3 linked regions of the Elephas maximus indicus genome follow. The protein of the gene in region 2 interacts with the protein of the main gene of each other region in a pairwise test. Links are inferred from orthologs where the notes say so. Each region holds a gene or a part of one and is shown on either strand. Other genes may lie near its edges.

Evidence for each region.
Region 1: the proteins of CCDC184 (region 2) and GPANK1 interact in binary tests that used the Homo sapiens proteins (3 or more experiments, as listed by UniProt). The two-hybrid records come from large-scale screens. The link is inferred for Elephas maximus indicus from reciprocal best matches to the Homo sapiens genes CCDC184 and GPANK1.
Region 3: the proteins of CCDC184 (region 2) and STX11 interact in binary tests that used the Homo sapiens proteins (3 or more experiments, as listed by UniProt). The two-hybrid records come from large-scale screens. The link is inferred for Elephas maximus indicus from reciprocal best matches to the Homo sapiens genes CCDC184 and STX11.

Annotation. Positions count from the first base shown.
Region 1 is NC_064819.1:93,194,555-93,201,941, forward strand, and holds the start of GPANK1 (G patch domain and ankyrin repeat-containing protein 1), read right to left. Parts: upstream 3,072-7,387; 5' UTR 2,906-3,071; intron 2,488-2,905; 5' UTR 2,384-2,487; coding exon 1,749-2,383; intron 979-1,748; coding exon 534-978; 3' UTR 1-533. Other genes in the region: CSNK2B (casein kinase II subunit beta), read left to right, coding at 5,144-5,215, 5,905-6,007, 6,582-6,697, 7,126-7,225, 7,366-7,387.
Region 2 is NC_064822.1:103,058,339-103,065,720, reverse strand, and holds CCDC184 (coiled-coil domain-containing protein 184), read right to left. Parts: upstream 2,807-7,382; 5' UTR 2,309-2,806; coding exon 1,715-2,308; 3' UTR 514-1,714; downstream 1-513.
Region 3 is NC_064819.1:214,682,186-214,689,761, reverse strand, and holds the start of STX11 (syntaxin-11), read right to left. Parts: upstream 3,072-7,576; 5' UTR 2,977-3,071; exon of another isoform or gene 2,816-2,976; intron 2,731-2,815; 5' UTR 2,613-2,730; coding exon 2,549-2,612; intron 1-2,548. UniProt on the Homo sapiens protein: SNARE that acts to regulate protein transport between late endosomes and the trans-Golgi network.

The DNA of each region.
Region 1 (7,387 bases), on a different chromosome or scaffold from region 2:
TCGTGCTTGGTAGAGTACAGGGTCAGCGAAAAAGAGGAAGACCCTCCAGGAGATGGAGTGACACAGTTGCTGCAACAATGGGCTTAAGCATAACAATTGTGAGCATGGTGAAGGACCAGGTAGTGTTTCGTTCTGTAGTACACAGGATCACTATGAGTTGGAACCGACTTGACGGCACCTAAGAACAACAACAGGCCTCCAAAAGAACCAGATTGGTAGGGAGATGACTCTATCATGCCATCTGGAGGTAGCTGCTCCTGTGGCTCCAATTGGCCATGCTAATGTGGCCCCCAGACTTCAGTTTGGCTTCCCCCACAACAGCTTCCAGAAAAATGAACAGATTAGGAAAGAGAATGAAGATTGATTTATTTCTCAACTCTCAGCCCTTCTCTCCCAAAAGGCAGGGAGGGCCCAGTGACCAAAACCTGAGGGTCTGGGACCTGGGCAGACCTCTGGGAGTACAGGCTAAAGTACCCAAGTCATGGGCCAAAGTTCAGACTCTGGCAGCAGACCAGGGTCAAACCTCACCAAGGTCAGAATTCAAGGTTCATGTACATCCTGAGATCCCGCTCCCAAGCCCTGCTCTTCTCCTCTCGCCTTCTCTCCTCTTTCCGGCTCAGTGTGGTCACCCGAGGCGCTCGCTCCCGCCCAGCCACAGCCCGGGTATCCAAAGCCTGGAAGTGTGTGACCCGGGGCTGGGGTGCTGATCTGTAGCCAAGACCCTCCTGGTCCCTCTTAAGGACAGTGGGGATAGGGTTGGTGCGACCCTCACCTCGGGGTCCAAGCCCCATCCCTGGCTCCCAGCCTCCCCTCAGCAGCAACCTGAAGCCTGGGCTGGAGGCAGGCACCCCAGGGGGAAGACTAGGGGGGCAGGGACCCTGGGACAGTGACAGCAGGTGGGCGGTGGATGTGCAGTGGTTGGCATCTTGGAAGTAGGCGTCACAGGTCTCGCAATAGTGGGAGGCGCGAGATTGGGGCCTGCAGAGGAAGAAGAGAAGGAGTTGAGGGAGGGGGTTATGGGTCAGGAGAAGGGTACAGAAGCTTCAGGGGTGCTGGCAGGGTGGGACAAGGTCTTTTCAGCCCTTCTGCTAAGGAACAAATTGCTTTCCTCCCCACTTAGCAATGAGAAACCCAGAGGGGAATGGCTGGGAGAAGAAATGGTAACTAGGCCTCACAAGACTTTTGGAGGAAGGAATAATAATGATTACAATTAATATTTATATAGTACTTACCATGTAGCAAAGGAGCCCCTGGGTGAGGCTAATGGCTACGCACTCCACTACTAACCAAAAGGATGGCAGTTGAAATCCACCCAGGAAGACAGGCCTGGCAATCTACTTCCAAAAGGTCAAAGTCTTGAAAACCTTATGAAGCATTCTACTCTGTACACATGGGGTCACCGTGAATTAGAATTGACTCAATGGCAACTAACAACTACATGGCAAGCACTGCTCTAGTAGTTTGCACGTATTAGCCCATTTAATCTTAACCCTACGAGAAAGGTACTATTATTACCCACCATCTCTCAGATAAGGAAACTGAGACACATAGCATTTAGGTTGTTTGCCCAAGTAAGTGGAGTTAGGATTCAAACCAATGGAGCTCATGTCTGTAACCATGCTACTACATTGCCTTATCAACCTACATGGGGCAGGGGGACCCTCAGCTCTGTTCTGGGGCCTCTGGTGCAGAGTGAGTAAGAAGAGCAGAACACTTTGAAATATGTGCATGGGCTAAGACTTTCTCACCGGTTCTCAGGGCTCCTCGTCTCTCCATGGCTCTCCCTGACCATGCGGGCCACCTCGGGGAAGCCGGCTTCTTCCGCCAGCTGGGCAGCATCCCGGCCACCCAGCTCACAAACTCCCACCCAGGCAGCCCCTCGGCCCAGGAGATAGCTCACAGCTGCCCCCTGGCCAGCTCGGGCAGCACACATCAGGGGAGTCCACCAGAAGGCATCACGGGTATTGATATTCCCCCCAGCTCCTCCTGTCTCACTGGGTTCCAGCAGCCTTCGAAGTTCTGCCAGGTCCCCCTCCTGAGCTGCCCTCAGTATCCACTGGGTTAGCTTGTCCTCTGCCTCAAGGGATCCCTCTTGTCCATGTACCCCTGATGCTGCCTCTGCCACTGCCATTGCTTCTGCCGCAGCCTCCCTCATCAGTCTTCTTTTCTTCCTCTTTTTCTCCCTGGCAGGCTCAGGGTGCGATCTTTGGGGTTCAGGAAAGCTGCTCTCGCTCTCTATCAGTGACTCGTAGAAAGCACGGACTGCAGACCCATCCAAGGCGGGTTCTGGCTCCTCAGGCTGTGGCTGCTGCTGCTGCCCATCTTTCCAGAGGTCACTAGAATCGCTGGCTGGGGTGAAGGTGATGAGGGACGGCCTGGACATGGCTTTTGTGAGAGCTGAGAAAATGAGGCTGGGCAAGGGAAGGCTGAGAAAAGCAAGCCAACTGCCCAAAAGCCCCTGTAGTGCCGAGATCCACCTCCAGGAAGCTGCCGAAAGGAAGAAAAGTAGCCTTAGAATCCAAGATCCCCTCCTGCCCCAAAAGTGACCCCACAATCTAAGGCCCGGCAGGGCCTAAGCGCCTAAGGACCGACTCATAGCGACCCTACAGGAGGACAGAGTAGAACTGCCCCACAGGGTTTCCACGCAGCGGCTGGTGAATGCCAATCGCCGACATTTTGGTTAGCAGCCAAGCTCGTAACCACTGCGCCACCAGGGCTCCAAGGGTTATAGGTCACATGTAAAAACAGGAAACCCTACAATAACCTGCTCCTTGCTAAATGTCAACAAAGAAAATTCCATGAGAGAGTTGCTCAGAGGGCCTATGTCCCGCCCTGCCACCCCGCTCTCATATAAAAGTAATGAGAGCCTCTCTCTGAACCGACTTTTCCACACCAAATGACATACGTTTAAGATAAAAAAAAACCGGCCTGGCCCTTTAAATCTTCCTGCTCCTATTTCGGGGTTCCGTCTTTCAAACAAAAACAGTCTCGGCACTTCTCCGGAAGCAGATTTCGGCAAGAGGCTCCGCCTGCATTGCTTTGTGGCTTCCGTACGGCAGAATGGCGCTACTCTAATCAAAAGATACGCTACAATCAAATAGCCACAAGACAAGACAACGCATGCGTGGCAGGAAAAAAAAAAAAAAAAGCCATGATTACATCAGAGCGCAGGCGTGAAGCGCCGGGTTCAGTTTCCCGCCCTGGAGTCTTTCCAATAGTCAATCTGCAAAGGGTCGCGTGCCTCGGCGGCGCGAGGACCTAAGAAGATCTGTCGGTTGGGGTCCTGCTTTTACATAACGCCCCACAATGCCCTCCACCTCCCTCGAGGTGACCCTCCGCTCCGAGCTCATTTTCTGGAGCCGGGAAACCATTCCCTGACTTAGGAAAGGCACTGAGGAGGGAAATCTGCAATGCCAAGAAGCTGTGACATGAAATAACGTCACCCTGCCCCTCACCATTACTCTGACCAAGGTTCGAAGGTTACACTTTGAGCCCGCAGTCGAAGGTCCTATTCAAGGCCTAAGAGGATATGGAAAAGTGCAAGGGGACAAGCGCCAGGATGGCTGGTGCCACCTCAGGTTAGCGCACTGGGCCGTCCCGGTTCTCACATCGCTCAGCCCAGCCCAGCCCAGCCCAGTCCAGCCCACCTAGGTCTCTCAGCACGGAGCATTTTCTTTCTCAGGAGGCCGGGGCTCTGGGTGAAACGTGGGCCCTATGGAGAAGGGGAAGCCCCAGGAATAGGCCTGACTGGGGCAAGGGACCTAACAGGCAAGAAAGACGCGACGGCCTGGACGAGACTAGGAATAAACAGGACTAGACTCCAGGGCGGAGGCGCTTAGCCAGGACTTGAGTATCAAGCAGTGAGGAGAGAGGCAGGGAGAGACTTCAGCCTGGCGCGCTGATTTCCCCGCCCCCACTCGGCCCCTCAGTCCTAGGAGCAAAACTCTGTATTTCCCAGGCTCTGGCCCCGAATGCGGCATTTGTTTTCCGCTTCCGGTGGCGCCTCGCTGCGCCCCGCCCTCGAGCGTCTTCCTCGCGGGCCCAGCGAACCAGAGTCGTGTGCGGGTCATCCTGGGATTCGTAGTTAGCTTTTCCCTCGTTTCGCCAGTTTGTCCCTACCGGGGACTCTATTTCCCGGCGTCCACCGCGGTGCCGGACCTTTGGCGCTTGCGCGTTGCTCTTTTCCCCACCCTCCCCAATTTCCACTCCCCCCACCGCGCGTCGCCTGCCGCGGTCGGGTCCACGGCCTTCGTTGTAGCTGTCGCTTGGAAGCAGCAACTCCCCTCCCCGCCCCACTCCCGGCCCCTGTCCAGCAGGTTAGTCTGAGGTCCTCGCCGCGCCGAGCCTTCTTCTTCGTTGGCGCTGCACATGGGGTCTCTGCGCCTCGATGTGGGGGCGGGGAAGGAAGTGACCCGGTCCGGCATTGAGGGAGGGAGGGAGGGAGGGGTGTCCTGGGGGGCGGCTGCGGTATGTGCGGGCTCCTGTGGAAGGGATCTGACAGTCACCCGCAGGCCGTCAGAAAAGGAGGGGCCGGGCTCTTTCCCGGGAAGGATAAACTTCGGGACCTTTGGGAAAGGCTCCGGAAACTTGCAGAGCCCTACTGTGGTAGGGAGCCGGAGTCGAGGACCCTGCTGGAGTTGACACGGAAGGGAGAGGGGCCCGGCTTGCGGGAGAGCCAGGGATGCGGGTAGGACTGGTGGGTCACATCTCTTGGTTTCTTGCAAGTGGACTGCACAGGATTTCTAACTGCAGAGAAAAGGGGCTGAGGTGTAAATAAAAGGAGTTGGAGAGGGGTGCTCCGGAGTCTGGGAGTCTTTAAGAAACCCCGTTAAAAAACCCCGTTGACATCGAGTCAGTTCTGACTACTGAAGACTTTATAGGACAGAGGAGAACTGTTCCATAGGGCTTCCAAGGAACAGCTGGTGGATTCAAACTGCCACCTTTTGGTTAGCAGTAGCAGCTCTCCATAGTTCTTAACCACTCCAGCACCAGGGCTCTCCTTTAAGAAAGGCTGACCCCAAGGTTCTTCTGTGGTTGGAAGGTGAAGTGTGGGAGGAGGGAGGATACTAGAGACAGAGGGAGGGAGGGAAAGCTCTGGGTCACCGGCTTTACTTACACCCTTATTTTTCAAGCTGACGTAAAGATGAGCAGTTCAGAGGAGGTGTCCTGGATTTCCTGGTTCTGTGGGCTCCGTGGCAATGAGTTCTTCTGTGAAGTGAGTTCTCCTCAGTCTCCCTGCTTGCCAGCGCAGCTCCACACAGACTCTGACCCCAGGCGTTCCCACACATATTCAGCCTTCTTATAATTTTTTCCGATGCTTCCATGGAAACTCCCTCTTGTCAAGGAAGTGTCCCCTCAGTACCTCCCATTAACCTGTAGTGAAGCGGCAAGACTGGTGCTCAAGTCCCAAGCCTTCCATCTTCCGACAGGAAGATGTCGAGAAGGTCAATCCATGTCTTTGTTATCACTAGAATAGTACTGATAGTACCTGTCTCAGGTGGCTGTTACGAGAATTGAAATACTACCTGTTAAAATGTTTGGTAATGTGTAAAGTTCTCTGTTAACGTAAGGGATTGTAACCTTCAGAATCTGAGCTGTCAGTCTCCACCTTCCTCAGAGAGCCAGCTATCCTTAAAGAGAGAACAAAACTGGTTCCTAGAGATGGGGTGCAGGAGTACGGATAGGGAACTTGAAAAGAATGTCTATCTGAGGAGACATCCTTAGAAAAGAAAGGCCAGGGCTTTTAGGAGAGGGAGTGTGTGAGTACCTCTTTTGAGTTTGGGGTGGGGGATGACGGGAACAGAAGCAGTTGTGTTGAGAACAAGGCATCAGTTAGAGCAACATGTCTGTGCCAAAGCCTGGAGTTTCTTTGTGGTTTCCTTCTTCACTTCCACATCCTGACAGGTGGATGAAGACTACATCCAAGACAAGTTCAACCTCACAGGGCTCAATGAGCAGGTACCCCACTATCGACAAGCCCTTGACATGATCTTGGACCTGGAGCCTGGTGAGGCACTTTCAGGGTTGTTGTTTTGTTTTGATTTTTCCTCCTCTCAAAATCCCAATTCCCCTGTTTCTTGAATTTCTAAATTTTCTTTTGGCTCTTTGTCTCCTTTATCCCAAAATCTCTTCCTTCACTTTGATTCTCCACCTGGCTCTTGCCTGGTTTAGTGACATCTGCCATCTGTTCCTGTGCTCACTGATTCTGTAATTCGGCTTTATTCCATAATGCCACTTTCCCCAAGTGTCTTGTTTTCTGCCTGTTTCTTCTGCCCTGCACCTTCCAGTCTAGAGTTCCACCTTCTGCGTTGACATCTTTGCATTTATGTATTGAGAAGCGAGGTAGGGGTAGAGAAGAGAACGGAGGCTGAAGAGGTGTGGAGGGAAGGCAGAGCTGCCCTGGGTTGGTGGAAGGGGTCAGAAACCTAGGTTTACGGGTTGAATGTCCAGGTGATGGGTGGGGTGAGACTCAGAGATAGGTGGTGGGCAAATTGAGTAGCCAGCAGCCACTGGGAGTGAGTGGAGCACCCTCAGGAAGGCTGAATGGCAAGTGGTTGCATTTGGGCCGGGCCATGTTTCAGATGAAGAGTTGGAAGACAACCCCAACCAGAGTGACCTGATTGAGCAGGCAGCTGAGATGCTGTATGGATTGATCCACGCCCGCTACATCCTCACCAACCGTGGCATCGCCCAGATGGTGAGGACTCTACTCCCACTTGACTCCTTTTGAGGCAATAAGGGAAACAGGTTCCAGCAGCAAGAAGTCATACATTTCAACTTTGCCAGGGAGTCTAGCTGAGAAGAGGGGAAGAAGCCCAGAATCTGGGCCTGGGAGTTGAGTCCTGATTTCGGGGCATGTTGTGGGAGGCTGTTTTCAGGAGGGAGACATGACCCTGAATGGGAAGTTCTTGCAGACTATCTCTTTCTTGGGGAACAAACAGTGAATGACTCTGGTTTGCAGCCTGCCTGACTGGAGGAAAGGAGGCAGCAGAGTCTGAGGGTCTGTCTGGGCTAGGGAAGGGGCCTCTGGACAGAGGTGGAAGGATTAGGGGCACAGTGATATAGGTTGGGCTGAGGGGGGAGTTAGCACTATGTGGGTTGCATCATTTCACACCTGTCTACCAGTCTTCGCCATTTTATTTACCTCAGTTGGAAAAATACCAGCAAGGAGACTTTGGCTACTGTCCCCGTGTGTACTGTGAGAACCAGCCAATGCTCCCCATTGGTGAGTATTGGATAGTGGTAGATGACATATGGCAGGTGCCCTGGGAATGTGTTGGGACTTAGCAAGTCGGGGCCCAAGTCCTGGGTGAAAGTTGTGCAGGTTAGAAGGTGCCCAGTCGGCTGAGTCTGGCTGTCTCGCAGGCCTGTCGGATATCCCAGGCGA
Region 2 (7,382 bases):
AACTATGCTCCATGGGATTTTCAGTGGGTGATTTTTCAGAAGTATATCACCAGGCCTTTCTTTCGATGTGCCTCTGGGTGGACTCAAACCTCCAACCTTCTGGTTAGCAGTTGAGCACTAACCGTACCACCCAAGGTCTCCCCTCCTTAACCCTTCCATGGAACAAATGTCACGCCTGCCATTCCAGGATCCAGACTTGGAAATCATTTCCTAGGGGCCAGGTGCTTCACTGAAAAGAAGTCTTTAGCACATCTGAAGTTCTGGTTACTAAAAATTCTTGTTAGTTTGGGAGTCTCAACAAATATTCCCTTCTTCCCTAGTCCAACTTGAGATCAAGGTCCAGATCAGAAGGGAAAGCAGGCAAAACTGGCAGTGACTGTCCCGACCATGGTGGGTCAACTCCTTGGAACTAGAAGCAAGGAGAGAGGAGGGAAGGCAGTTCCCACTAAGCCCTGGTCCATGCAGTGGGCCCAGAAGCCCCACCCTAACATCCCTCTAGTACCAGTCAGCAAGGAGGGGAGATGACGCCTCTTTATTAAGGTTAACACCAAGGAAAGCATTGAGAAAGGGATACACAAAGGAGGGGGATGGGCACACAAAGTCACCACTTGAGGAGGCAGCAGGGAGGCACGTGAGTTAAGGAACCTCAGGACAGCCACATGCTCCATGCCCTGGTGGGGGTAGAAAGGGAGAAGGGGAAGCGCCATGACAGCTTGGGACTCAGAAGGGTCGGATGTCCCCTAAACCTAACGCCAGAGCCACAAGCCCTGCCCCTCAGGGCTCACACACTACTACACATGTGGACACACATAATACACACAAGACATCATGGAGGCAACACCGAGAGGCAGCGGGCAAGGATATTTTGGCAGCAAAAGGAACTGAAGTTAAGTGGATGTAGCCAGAAGAGAGAGAACTTTTGGCTGCGGCTCCCAAGAGTCCCTCAAACGTCCCCTAAATCTGGGCTACTGCTGAGCACCCGAGTCTCTGCCTGTGAGCTGGGTTCTTTGTTCTCTAAACCCCAGTGAGTGGAAAAGCAATCCCGGATGAAGTCAGTGACAAGGCAGGATCCGCTCTGCATGCAAAATCCTAGAGGTTGAACTATTATGTCTTCATGCACATTCACAGCCAGCTCCTCCCAGCCCAGGGGCCCTTGGAACCCCATTCACCCAGATTCCTAGGGCTGCGGTTCCCTCCTCAAGCTTCCTTTACCAATCAGGAGCCGCCGAGATCTGTGAGGGGGAGAGCCTTCTGCAGAGCACTGAATAAGTTGGGTTTCAGCAGAAGGGCAAATGTCCTGTTGCCAGAACAGAATACCCCAATTCCTTAATTTCTAGGTAAATCTTTAGAGATTATTTGCCATAGTCCTAGATAAGTCCTTTTTCAGAATAGAAAAAGCAGAATTTATTTACACAAGTCAGGGGTTCTCCTGTTGGCCGGAGAGGGGTAAGGGTAGGGTAGGGGATGGATAGGAGTCCAGAGACGGGCGCTTCCTCTCCTGGAGCCTCACCTTTCCGCCGTTTGCTACCTCTCGCTTGGTTGTGCAGAAAGAATTCTTGATGCTCCCAAAGTCCTTCACCTTACAAATCATTCCTCGGGAGTCTCTCCCTGCCTGATCTACGAGGTAGCATGCGGCACCGCGCCGTTCAGTCCTCTCACGTCATGCACTGGGAAACCCACAGCCAGCCCGGAAAGGTGCCTCTGCGGAGTCCCCTCACAGGGAGGCCTCGCCCTCCATCTGCAGAAGGGTGATGTCGGGAAGGTCGAGGGGCTCCACAAGTGGCCCGTCCCCCCCAAGGAGACCAGCGCAGGAGCTCTCGGGACGCTCACAGTGACTGGTGGGTGTGGCGGGGCTGGGCACTTCCTTCTTCTCTACTTCGTCGTCGTCGTCCTCCTCGTCCTCGGGTTCGCGACCCAGCAAGCCGCTGCCTCCGGCCCCAGGCGAAGGGTTCTCCGGCTCTTGGGGGGCGCCCGGGAAGCTCCCTTTGCCGCCGACCACGCCCAGGCCGCCCTGGCGGGGCGCCGTGGTCATAATCCGGCACATGGAGACGATGGCGCGCTGGTTGGCGCACACGTCGTCCGAGAGTACCTGGATGTGCGAAGCCTGCTCGTCCAGGGCCCCCCGCATGGCCCTCACGTCCTCAAACAGGGCCTGCAGCTGGGCCTTCAGGTGTTCCATCAGTTCCTTCATGCCGCCGTTGTACTCCCCGGCGATCACGTCCCCCACGGCCGGCACCGTGGACACCTCCAGAGGCGCCGGCATGTCGCCGCCGTCCTTGGTCATGATCTCCAGCAGACCGTCCTCCATTGAACGGCAGAAGCGGGCGGTGGCGGCTCGGGGTCCGGTCCGGCCGGGCCTCCGGGCGGGGGAAGGGCAAGGAGGGGGTCCCGGGAGGAGGCGGGGAGGAGCCCAGGGAAGAGGAGGCTCCCGAGAGGGGCGGGAAGCCGACGTAAGGATACGAGTCCTGGGCGGAGGGCACGGGCAGGCTCGGGGGAGTCCAAGGAGAAGCGGCGGGAAGAGGACCGGGCGAGGGTCCCAGTGCCGGCGTCTCTCGGGCTCGTCCCGGGGCGAAAGCTCCGCGCCCTGCCTGGGCTCCGGGGTTGCGCCCGTATCAGCGCCGCCCTCAGGGCGCCAGGAGCAGCGAGTGCCCGCCGGTTCCCTGAGTCACAAAGGCGCTCGCTGAGGGGCTCGGGCCGAGACAGAGGCCAGCAGCGCGTCCGGCTCGGGACTCCCCCCAGCCATTAACAGGCAGCGCCCGCGAGCGTGTTTGGAGCGGCTGGGGCCGACTTCCCCACTGCGCCGCGGATGCTCCTCTGTTTCCAAGGCGACGCACGGCACGTAAATGACGTATGTCTCCATAGCAACCAGGAAGTGGCGAAGAAAAAGGAACCGAGGCTCTGGAGTCGGAGCTAACGAGTGGGGCGGAAGGGAAGAGTAGAGCGCTGCAGTGGCCTCGGCGAGGCTGGAAAGAGCGTGTGGCTGCAATGTTCAATGGGGAAGCATGAGAAAGCAGTTTGCTGCGTAAACCCAAAAGCCCAGGGGGATCATCCCTTCCCCAGTCTGGGTATCAGACATTGAGTGCGACTGCCTCGGGAGCGTTCTCACCAGCGCGCATTCCCTTCCCTGAGGGATGGCGCAGAGCTGGGTCCTGCTTCTCTGTCCTCCAGCTGTCCGCAGGAACACGGAGAGGGTAGAGAGGCCCAAGCTAATCATCTGACTTGAGCTGGTGCGCCGCGGCACCCTGGATCCGGCCCCGCCAGGCTTCGGCAGGGTAGAAGGAGAGCACTACCGAGATTTCTGCCTCACACTTCGGCTTCTGCAGTAAATCAGCTGTCTTTGTAGAAAGCACAGAAACTGAGAAAGGATGGGATTCCCTTCCATGGAAGACCCAATCGCTCCTTCCCAGGTCACTAGGGTATTTTCCAGGACGGTGACGCGAAGCACTTAAGTGTTGAGAATGAAAGCTCTATGAAGAGCAGAGATTTTGCCTCTCCCTCCCACCCCCCAATCGCTGAATCCCTAGTGCCTGGAACATAGTAAGTAGGTGCTCAGTGTATTTGTTAAATGAATGCTTTAACAAGAACCACTGTGTCGTGTCCCATTCCCTCACCCAGGTGGATGTTGTTAGTTGCCATGGAGTCCATTCTGACTCATGGGCACCCCATGTGTGCAGAGTGGAACTGCTCCGTAGGGTTTTCAAGGCCGTGACGTTTTGGAAGCAGATCACCAGGCCTGTTCTCCTAGGTACCTCTGGGTGGGTTCAAAATGTCAACCTTTGGGCTAGTAGCATGCTTAACTGTGCTACCCAGGGACTCCTAGACGGAGGTTAACCAAAAACCGTGGCGTCCAACTCATTGTGATCCTATTGGACTGAGTAGAACTGTCCTATAGGGTTTCCAAAGCTGTAATCTTTACAGAAGCAGACTGCCACGTCTTTCTCCCTCAGAGCCACTGGTGGGTTGAACTACTGACCTTTGATTAGCAACAGAGCACTTAACCACTGTGTCACCAGGACTCCTAGATGAATGTTAGGAGACCTGAATTCAAGTTTTGATTCTGCTACTTATTAATTCAGAGACCTTGGCCAAATCATTTTCCTGATCTTCTAGGGGTCTGGACTGGATAATCTATAATATTATTTCTAACTCTGAGTAATGCTCTGTGTCAGCTTACGAATAAAGGCATAAACTGTTGACAGTTGTGTGGAGGGGATGGATGGGCGAACTGTGTGTGAGGATAATTTCCCCTCCCTCCACCCAGTGCAAATATACACTGAGTGTCCCAACCTTTGTGACAACCCCTTTCACTGTTTGAAAAGCCTAGTGGGAGGTGAAGATGAGGAAGAAAAAATTGGATTTAATATATTTACAGATGACAGTAAAGTGAGAAGCAGTCAGGCCCTGGGCAGCAACATACTAATTAATAATAAAACCAAAACCAAACCCACTGCCATGGAGTCACTTCTGACTCATAGAGACCCCACATGACAGAATAGAATTGCCCCCATAGGGTTTCTAAGTCTGTAAACCTTTAAGGAAGCAGACTGCCACATCTTTCTCCCATGGAGTAGCTGGTAGGTTCAAACTATCAACTTTTCAATTTGGATTCAAGTGCTTTAACCACTGTGCCACCAAGTCTCCTTAATTAAAATAAACCCAGTAAGTTGGAGAGGATCCCTGGTGGCAAAAAGGTTAAGCTCTTGGCTGGTAAACTGAAAGGTTGTCAATTCGAACCCACTCAGCTGCTCCGTAGGAGAAAGACCTGATGATCTGCTTCTGAAAAGATTACAGCCAAGAAAACCATATGGGGCAGTTCTGTTCTGTCACATGGGGTCACTATGAGTCAAAATCCACTCAGTGGCACCCAACAACAACAGTAAATTGGAGAAGCCAAGTGATCAGAAACCAAAAATGAAGTTCACAAGATCAAATAAATCTGGGGAGGAGAAACAAACAGCATCCCTTCAAGATGGGGACAAGATAGCTATGGGTGAGTGTTTTGTACACTAATGGTTCAATGAGAGCAAACTTGGTCCTTTGGGGCTTCCGTAGTGAAGAGTGGGGCCCAGAAAAACATTCATGGCACTAAAGAACTATTCGGTCTTTGCCTGTATTACTGCTATAAAGTAGAAATAAATTGGAAATATCCTAAATATCCAACAGCGGAATGTTTAAATAATCTAAAACATTGTTAATATAAAAAAGTAGTTATTAGAAACTTATTTCCTAAAACAAATATACAAAGATATAAAAGACCCATAATATTGTATTTTCTAAAACTAATGATTCAGTTGTACTGCTAGGTCTGTCCTTCCTTCATTCATTCATTCCACAAACTTGAGCACTCTCACCTTGGTTATCACTGTTGTCACAATGAGCCCCCACAGGTTAGCCCTAAAGCCCTGACTCAAAAGAGGACAGAAATGCTTTTCCTCGGTTTCCTTAAGGAAAAAGTGGACTGGTATTTACAAAAAGACTAAACAAAAAGCTATAGAAGAACTGGCAGCTGAGACAGGACACACAAAAACAGGTGAGCTTACACAGCATACGTTTCTGATCACACCACCTTGAGCTTGTTTCCAGAGCAGACATGGGGTTCAACCCTGCTGTCATCCTGCCTGGAGAGCTCTGCTATAGCCAGTAAAGCCTGGCATTGCTTTCAGGCTTTTTTCTTCAGGCTATTACTTCACATCTTTTCACCTGCACTTCAAGGGAAGGATTTCATCTTGCCAGTTCCCTCACCCTTCAGGTGGGTCCCTGCCTTCTGCCTACAAAGAGTGGCCCTCTCCCCATTATAGGCCTCCCATCTTAGCAATCCCTAAATTAAACATAGCCTCCAGGCAGTAGGAGCTGGGTTATGCCATCATATAGGCTCTTTGTCACAGTTGTTGAGTATACCATATATGTCAAGGCTTTCAGCATAGGATCACAAGATTACATCATGCTTTCCAGAGGCACTGGCCATGAAGTCTGCTGATAGAAAGGGGGTGCTGAGCCTAGAGGGAGGGGAAATTATTGGAGAAGCAAGAAAGAACATGGGAAACGCGTGCAGAGATCAAGGGGTGTGGCCGATCCAGTCAAGTTCCAGGTCAGACATTTAAGAGCCACGGGTAGGTGGGAACTGGGGGAGTGAATCAGTAGCAGGACTTGAAAATACAGGGAGGAGAACCAGATAATTTCAGAATTCTGTAGGAAAATCAGACAAGGAGGAGTAGGAGGAGGCTCTAGTCTCTGGAGAATAAGAAAAACAGAGGCAGAGAGCAAAGCAGAGACTCAGTTGGCTGGGTTACAGGACTGGGTACTCTGGATGTCATTGCCCTAAGGTTGTTGAGTGGGCCCATTCCCAAAAAAAAAGGAGGTTTAGGGACAACCTGGCCATCCCACTAGAGTATTCAGAGGGACTGACACATAGTGAGTAAAAATAAACCCTACACACTCCTCTTCTGCTTCCTGCCTTTCTCTTATCTTCTGGGAGCCGCCTTAGCTGTTCCATTCCTTCAGCCCAGTCTCATCAGCCCATGAGGGGAAGAGACCCCGTGATGCATAGATGTAGATCTCCATCAGGTACACCTAGTTCCAAACATCACATTCTCCCCAAGATTGTGATTCTAAATTGTCTCTGCCATTTTCCTCTATTCTGGTGTGTAGCTGATCTCCAGTTCGATTTTCTAAAGCTAGTGTGTCTTTTGCACTACAAATCCAACAGTCATGATGAAGCTGCTCCCTTGACTCAGACCTATAACAATTATTTAAATCAACATACAGCTGACTGCTGCATCTTAGGCCCCCAAATCCCAGGCAGTAACTCCCCCAAATTTAACTTTTATGAAGCTGAGCTGCCTTGTGGCTCATCTCAGCAAGATTTCACACCCAATAGCCAAAAATAATTAAAAAGCAATTTCAATTTTTTTATAGTCTCTGGGAAAAGTCTAATGGGGTTACATTCTCAGCACAGAGCAAAACATCTTAAATTCCTCTTCTCCCCTCCTCTATGCATTGCACGTTTTATGGCATAACTGTTGCCTCCAGTCTCTCTCCTTTTTCCTCAACACCTCAAACTTTCTCTTAATCCTAGCACTTGCTTTCTCAGTCCTTCACTCCTCTCACTTCTTGAATGTATTTTTCTCTTCTGCAAAAAGAAAGTCCTTGTCCTTCTAACATAAGGGAATCAAAGTTTGTTTCAGCTCCTTTGACTCTCTCCCTTGCTTCCCTAATCTGCACTAGTACCGAAAGCCCAACTCTTAAGGACAGGGGTCTCCTGAGACAGTAAGAGAGACTAAGAGGCTGAGAGTACTCATATTACTGGGGATTTTGTGTCACATAGACTAGGTTTTCTCAGCACCAGAAAGAGGTTTGCCTGCTGTTACGGCCAACCTGCTTTG
Region 3 (7,576 bases), on a different chromosome or scaffold from region 2:
AATCCACTAGGTGCTCCTTGGAAACTCTATGGTGCAGTTCTACTCTGTCCTATAGGGTCGCTGTGAGTCGGAATCGACTCAATGGCAGTGGGTTTGGTTTTGGTTTTGAGTTATTCTAATTTGAATGTGGAAACCCTGGTGGTGTAGTGGTTAAGTGCTATGGCTGCTAACCAAGAGGTCGGCAGTTCAAATCTGCCAGGTGCTCCTTGGAAACTCTATGGCGCAGTTCTACCCTGTCCTATAGGGTTGCTATGAGTCGGAATCGACTCAAGGGCAGTGGGTGGTTAATTTGAATGTATCATCTGTTTCCTGTTGGGACCGTAACTGATATGCCATCCTTAATTAGCAGCTAGATCATAGCCCTCAAATGCCAGCTTCAGAAATTCTGTACCTACAGTCCTTACAAAAATAGCCCCTGGTGATATGTATTATCATATTACTGTTCAATTCACTGATTAGCTTTATGAAGAAAACATACAGTATGTGACATAATATAAATTTTTCTCCAGTACACTCAGACTAAAGAAATATCCTCAGATTCACAGGTGAATCTTTTATAGCTTCTTTATATAACACGTAATTTATAGAAATATGTAAATGAGAATTTGTAAGGTGATAGGTTTATTTTTAAGGTTTTAAATGTTTCTACATCTTAGAAGTTCTAAGTTGTTTCTAGATATGTGAGGAAGGCTGTATTTCGGTACTGCAAAAAATCCATCAGTACTCAACACACACAGCCTTACCAGAGAATACAGATTCTAAACCTTGAAGCTCAAGATTCAAACATAAAATAATCAGCCAGCTCCAGATTATTAAAAAAGGGAAATCCCATAATACTACTAAAAAAAAAAACCCAGTGCCGCCGAGTCGATTCCGACTCATAGGATAATACTAATACCAATATTAAAGATAACCAATACTTGCTGTTGCAGTTACAATTGCCAAGCACTGTGCTAACATTTTCATATATAATTTCGTATAATTCTCATCACAAATTTATTAGATGTGCCCTACTCAACCCCATTTGACAAAGGGGGAAAATAAGACTTCAAGTCTCCTATCCACAGTCCCAGCACCAGTAAGTAGAAGAACCTAGATTCAAATCCTAGTGTCCAACACAAAATGCAAATCCTTAACCACTAAAAAATAAAGAATCCAAGTGCACTATCAAAGACCACAGAAGACCCAAAGCTCTTTTCCTTTTAAAAAATGACTCTCCAAAGCAAATGACTTTTTTGCTTGCATTCAAAATCTAAGTAAAATTAGAAAAATTACTTTAAAAAGAAAAGGGCACAATGGGTAACTCATAGAAAAGCAAGTTCCTTTTTGTTTAGTAAGCTTATTTATTTTTCTGTGCATGGTACACAAGGAGGAGTAGAAAACAAGTAGTGGAAATTGTATTATTTTGGTATTAGTAAAATTTTATCCTTGCCTACTGTCATGGATTGAATTGTGTGCCCCCCAAATATCTGTAAACTTGGCTGGGCCATGACTCCCAGTATTGTGGGATTGTCCACCATTTTGTCATCTGATGTGATTTTCCTATGTGTTGTAAATCCTATCTCTATGATGTTAATGACATGGGATTAGCGGCAGTTATGTTAATGAGGCAGGACTCAATCTACAAGACTAGATTGTGTTTTAAGCCAATCTCTTTTGAGATATAAAAGAGAGAAGCAAGCCTAGAGACAGGGGGACCTCATACCACCAAGTTAGAAGCACCAAGAACATAGCGCTTCCCTTGGACCTGGGGTCCCTGTGCTAAGAAGCTCCTTGACCAGGGAAGATTGATGACAAGGACCTTCCCTCAGAGCCAACAGAGAGAGAAAGCCTTCCCTGGAGCTGGTGCCCTGAATTTGGACTTCTAACTCCCTAGACTGTGAGAGAATAAATTTCTCTTTGTTAAAGCCTTCCACCTGTGGTATTTTTTGTTATAGCAGCACTAGGTAAATAAGACACCTGCAATTCCTAAAATGGCATTGTTGTATTTTAATTTTAACCCAAACTTCAATTAAGTGAAAACTTTCTTCTAATACATTTGCATACTTGTTGTAAGGGACTTCAGTTTAGCATGTATTGGTTGCTGTATGCATACAAAGAGAACAAAACTTCCCTGTGAAAAGGAATGGGTTTAAAAAGTCTGGTAGAGAGACGGTATAACTGGTCTGCTGAATAGCGCTTAATGGAACTCAATTTTTCTGCAACAGTGATTTTGCATAACGAGTTGCAAAAGTATTTTAAGATGAGACTGTTGCTCAATACTCATTTCTGGTAAACCCTTTTTGCACCATTGCCCTGTCCTGAGGAATTGAGAAAAGCGAAACAGAAAAGCATAAACAGAGTATAACAAGTAAGCCAAGGTTTTTATACGTAATATTTTAGGCAGAAGCCTCTAGATATTAGTTTTTAATTTGAATAATTAAATTAGTTCTCAACAAGTATGATTCTTACAAAAAGACTTAACGTTTTTACATTCATATTTTGTTCATTTAGATGAATTTGTGTGATCCATTTAGAAACTATATAGTGCTATACCAAAAAGTCTTACTTTCGGGCTGAGACCTGGTGGTCTTCTCTTTTTCCTCTTCTTCATCCATTTGCTGCAGCTCCATGTTTTTGTTTCTCTTAGTTTTTCCTTTGGTATCCTCTTCAGACGAACTGTTTCCTCTGTCACAGATGATTTATAATTTCTGTGTGTTCATAGACAACAGCCAGCATCCTTCTGCGACTCTAAAGAAAATTAAAAAGGACAATATTGGTACCACAAAAAAAAAAAGTGTTTAAAACGATGAATGGGTGTTTAAGACAAACTTACGAAATTTGGTATAGTGAAAACAGGTTGAACTCTGCAGAGTGAACACACAAATTCAAAAGGCAAATTGTGTGTTTGACGATATCTGCACCATGTGATGATGATCTTGGTGAGGACTCGTTGGAGAGCCTGGCAGAAGCTCCTTTCGGTCTGCAGCATCTTACCTTACTGGGGTGCCCAAGTGTCAGGAGGAATCTTTGGGCTGACACGGCCTTGCATCACTAGCTTTGGGTGTTGAAAGCAGGCAGCTCCAGCTGACTTCTTTAAACTTTATTTTCTACAGGTTGGTAATAGGCAAAAGTGAGTTATGAAAAACAGGAACTTTTGTCACGGCTCTAGTCACAAAAAAACACAGATGTCCCATGCAGATTGGAATTCATCTTCGGTTACAATACAAATGTGGGTACTGGCCATAATCATTTCTAGGTCCTTATTTTATCTATGGGCCTAGCATAGCACGTTTCTGTCTTAAATAATGATTGGACCTTCCTGCAAGGAAAAAAAAAACAGGAAATCCAGGATCAATGACAAACTATTACTCCTCTAATGTTATTTAAATATAATATAAACAATATTGTTGTTGTGTGCCCTTGAGTGGATATGGACTCACAGCAACCCTATAGGACAGGATAGAACTGCCATACAGGGTTTCCTAGGCTATAATCTTTACAGAAACAAATTACCACATCTTTCTCTGGCAGAGTGGCTGGTGGGTGTGAACTGCAGACTTTTCAGTTAGCAGCCAAGGGCTTAATCACAGTGCCACCAGGGCTCCTTACTTAAACATACACATGATATATATTCTTTATGTCTACAGGCCCTTAAAAAATGCATAAATTCCAAATCAATCTGCACCATCTAAGTATAAAATTAATAATATTAAAATAAACAATGATTTAATACTGCTTTGATGAAACAAAACCACAAATGTCTATTCTAAAAATAGAAAAGTAAAATTGGGTATTTTGTATTTCACTTGTTACCATGTGAATCTCTACTTTAAATACAATAGGTATTCATTTTCTTGATCCTCATTGTTGTAATTTTTCCTTTAAACTATAAATTCCTTTTGAACTATCAATCCCTGATTTTAGTGAATCAATCAATTTAAAACTGTCCCTAAAATAAAATGCTAAAATACAAGAGTTTAATTTCATGAAACTGTCTTTATTGAATATTTATGACTGTATGCAGTGTTAATAAATTGAAATACTGAAGTGTGATCTATCTTCTATCAAACCTATAGTAGTACAGAAGAGTTCTTTTTTCTTAGAAAATACATACTCAAGCATTAAGGAATAATGGGGCATCATGTTTGCAACTGAATCTCGAAACGCTCAGAAAAAACAATGTGTGTGTGCATATGTGTGTCCATATGTGACTGTGTGTGTGTGTGGAGAGAGAGACAGAGAGACAAAGAGAGAGAAAGAGAAAAACAGAAAGAGGAAGAAAAAAGCAAAACAATTAGAGAAACTGAGTAGAGAATATTCAGGAATACTCTGTAGTAATTTTTTAGCACAACTTCAAATGGCCTAATACATATGTAATTGCAAACCCCAAAGGAAGGGAGGGGTGGGAAAAATATTTTAAAAATTTTGGAAACCTGTAAAACCCACAGATCTGAAAAGGTCAATGAGCTTGAGCACAAAAAACATGAATTAAACCACTCGAAGGCATATCATAACCAAACTGCTCAAAATCAGTGATAAAGGGGAAATCTTTAAAGCAGCCAGAGGAAAATGACACATTATGTACGGAAAGAAAAAGATAAGGATGACAGAATGTTTCACACCAAAGGAATGCAAGTGAGAAGAAAAAATACTAAGGGGGAAAAAAAAAGAAAGGAAAACTGTCTATGTATATATATATATATATATATATATATATATATATATATATATATATATATATATATATACCCAATGAATACATCCTTCAAAAACAAAGATGAAATAAAGATTTTCCCAGACATACTTATGCTGAAAGAATTCATTACCAGCAGACTCACACATGCTAAAGGAAGTTCTTCAGGCAGAAGAAAAATGATACTAGATGGAAATATGGATCTACACAAAGGAAGGAAGAACACTGGAAATGGAAACTACTTAGGTAAATATACAAAAAATTTTTTTCTTATTGCTAAATATCCTTAAAAGATAATTAACTGGCCTCCCCCTTGAGAGCAGGTGCAACACAAGGATGCTTGCTATCACCATTTTTATTCAATATTATCCTGAAAGTCCTAGTCAGAGCAATAAAACAAGAAAAGAAAAAATGGATCCAAATTGGAAAGGAAGAAGTAACACTCTCTCTATTTGCAGATGACACGATTCTTTACATGGAGAATCCCAGAGATTCCACAAGAAACTACTGGATCTAATAGAAGGATTCAGCAAAGTGGCAGAGTACAAGATCAACACATAAAAATAAGTCGGGTTACTTTACACTAACAAGGAGAACCCTGAAAAGGAAATTTTAAAAATACAGTTTACAATACCCCTCAAAAGGATAAAATACCTAAGAATAAATCTAGCCAGGGATGTAAAAGACCTATACAATGAAAACTATAAAACACTACTGTAAGAAACTAAAAGTGACCTTCATAAATGGAAAAATATTGCATACTCATGGATTGGAAAATTTAACATTGTGAAAATGTTAATGCCACTGTCTTGGTCATCTAGTGCTGCTGTAACAGAAATACCACAAGAAGATGGCTTTAACAAAGAGAAGTTTATTCTCTCACAGCCTAGTAGGCTAGAAGTCCAAATTCAGGGTGCCAGCTCCAGGAGAAGGCTTTCCCTCTCTTTTGGGTCTGGAGGAAGGTCTTTGTGATGCATCAGCGTTCCTTTGGTCTGGGAGCATCTCAGCACAGGAACCTCAGGTCCAAAGGGCACGCTCTGCTTCCAGCAGGCTTTCTTGGTGGTATGAGGTCCCCATGTCTCTCTGCTCACTTCTCTTTTTTATATCTCAAAACAGATTGGCTTTAGACTCTATCTAATCTCATAGATCTTATCAATATAACTGGCACTAATCCACCTCATTAGCATCGTAGCAATAGGATTTACAACACATAGGGAAATCACATCAGATGACAAAATGATAGACAATCATACAATACTGGGAATCATGACCTAGCCAAGTTGACAGATATTTTGGGGGGACACAATTCAATCCATGACCACTACCCAAAGTGATCTATAGATATAATACAATCTCAATCCAAACTCCAAAAACATTCTTTAATGAAGTGGAAAAATATACTAACTTTATACAGAAAGGAAAGAGACCCTATATAGCCAAAGCAATATTGAAGAAGAAGAACAAAGTAGGAGGCCTCACACTCCCTGATCTCACAACATACTATACAGCCTCAATAAACAAAACAGCCTGGTACTGGTTCAATGACAGACATATAAACCAATGAAATAGAATTGAGAACCCAGGAATAAATCCATCTGTCTATGGGCAGCTGATTTTCAATGAAGAGTCAAAGTCCATTCAATGGGAAAGAAGCAGTCTCTTTAACAAATGGTGCTGGCCAAACTGGATATTTATTTGCAGAAAATTGAAACAGGATCCATACCTAATACCATACACAAAAACTAACTCAAAATAGATCAAAGACCTAAATGTTAAAGCCAAAACTATAAAGTTCCTGGAAGATAATACAGGGACAAAATTATGGGACCTAATTTTTTTCAGTAATAGATTATCAAACACAACTATAAGTACACAAGCAACATAAGACATGTTAGATAACTGGGACCTCCTAAAATTTAAATACTTATGCTCACCAAAAATTTTATCTTCTTAGGATGGATTTTGTAGAGAAGCAAAACCCATGAGGTATATATATATGTGTGTGTGTGTGTATGTGTATATATATATGTGTATATATGTACATGTGCAGAGAGAGATTTATCTCAAGGAAATGGCTCATGTGGTTGTAGAGGCTGGCAAGTCCTAAGTTCATGGGTCAGGCTTTAGGCTGGAGGCTTCTCCTGACTCATGTATCTACAAGGGCTGATGAGCTCAAGATTGTCAGGTCAGATGGCATGTCACTGGTTCACAGGCTATGGAGGCTGACAAACTCCAAGATCAGCAGGTAAGCTGCTAGTTCAAGTCCCAAGAACTGGAAGTCAGATGATGACAAGCCGGATATAGCATCTAGTATGAAAGCCTTGCTGTAACACCCATTTATATACTGGAGCCAGGCCACACCCCCAAGGAAACTCACTTTCAACTGATTGGCTGCTCATAGCAGATTTCATCATGGAGTTCATTACATCATTACATAATTGCCAAACTACACCATAACTGCCAAGCTACTGAGAATCATTGCCCAGGCAAATTGACATACAACCTTAACCATCACGTTTACAAAAAACTAAAAAAAGAAGCTACAGATTGGGAAAAAAAATCTTTTAGAATGATATATCCGATAAGGGTTTAGTCTCTAAAATACACAGAAAACCTTAACACTCAACAGTGAAAAGGCAAATAATCCAATTAAAAAACGGGCAAAGGACATGAACAGACACCTCACCAAAGAGGATATTCAAGTGGCCAGCAAACACATGAAAAGATAATCACAGTAATTAGCCATCAGAGAGATGCAAGTCAAAATTACAATTAGATACGATTTCATCACTTCAAAAGTGGCACTGATCAGAAAACAACAAATGCTGGAGAGGTTGCAGAGAGATTAGAACTCTGCTTCCATGCTGTTGGGATTGTAAATTGGTTCAACCACCATGTAAA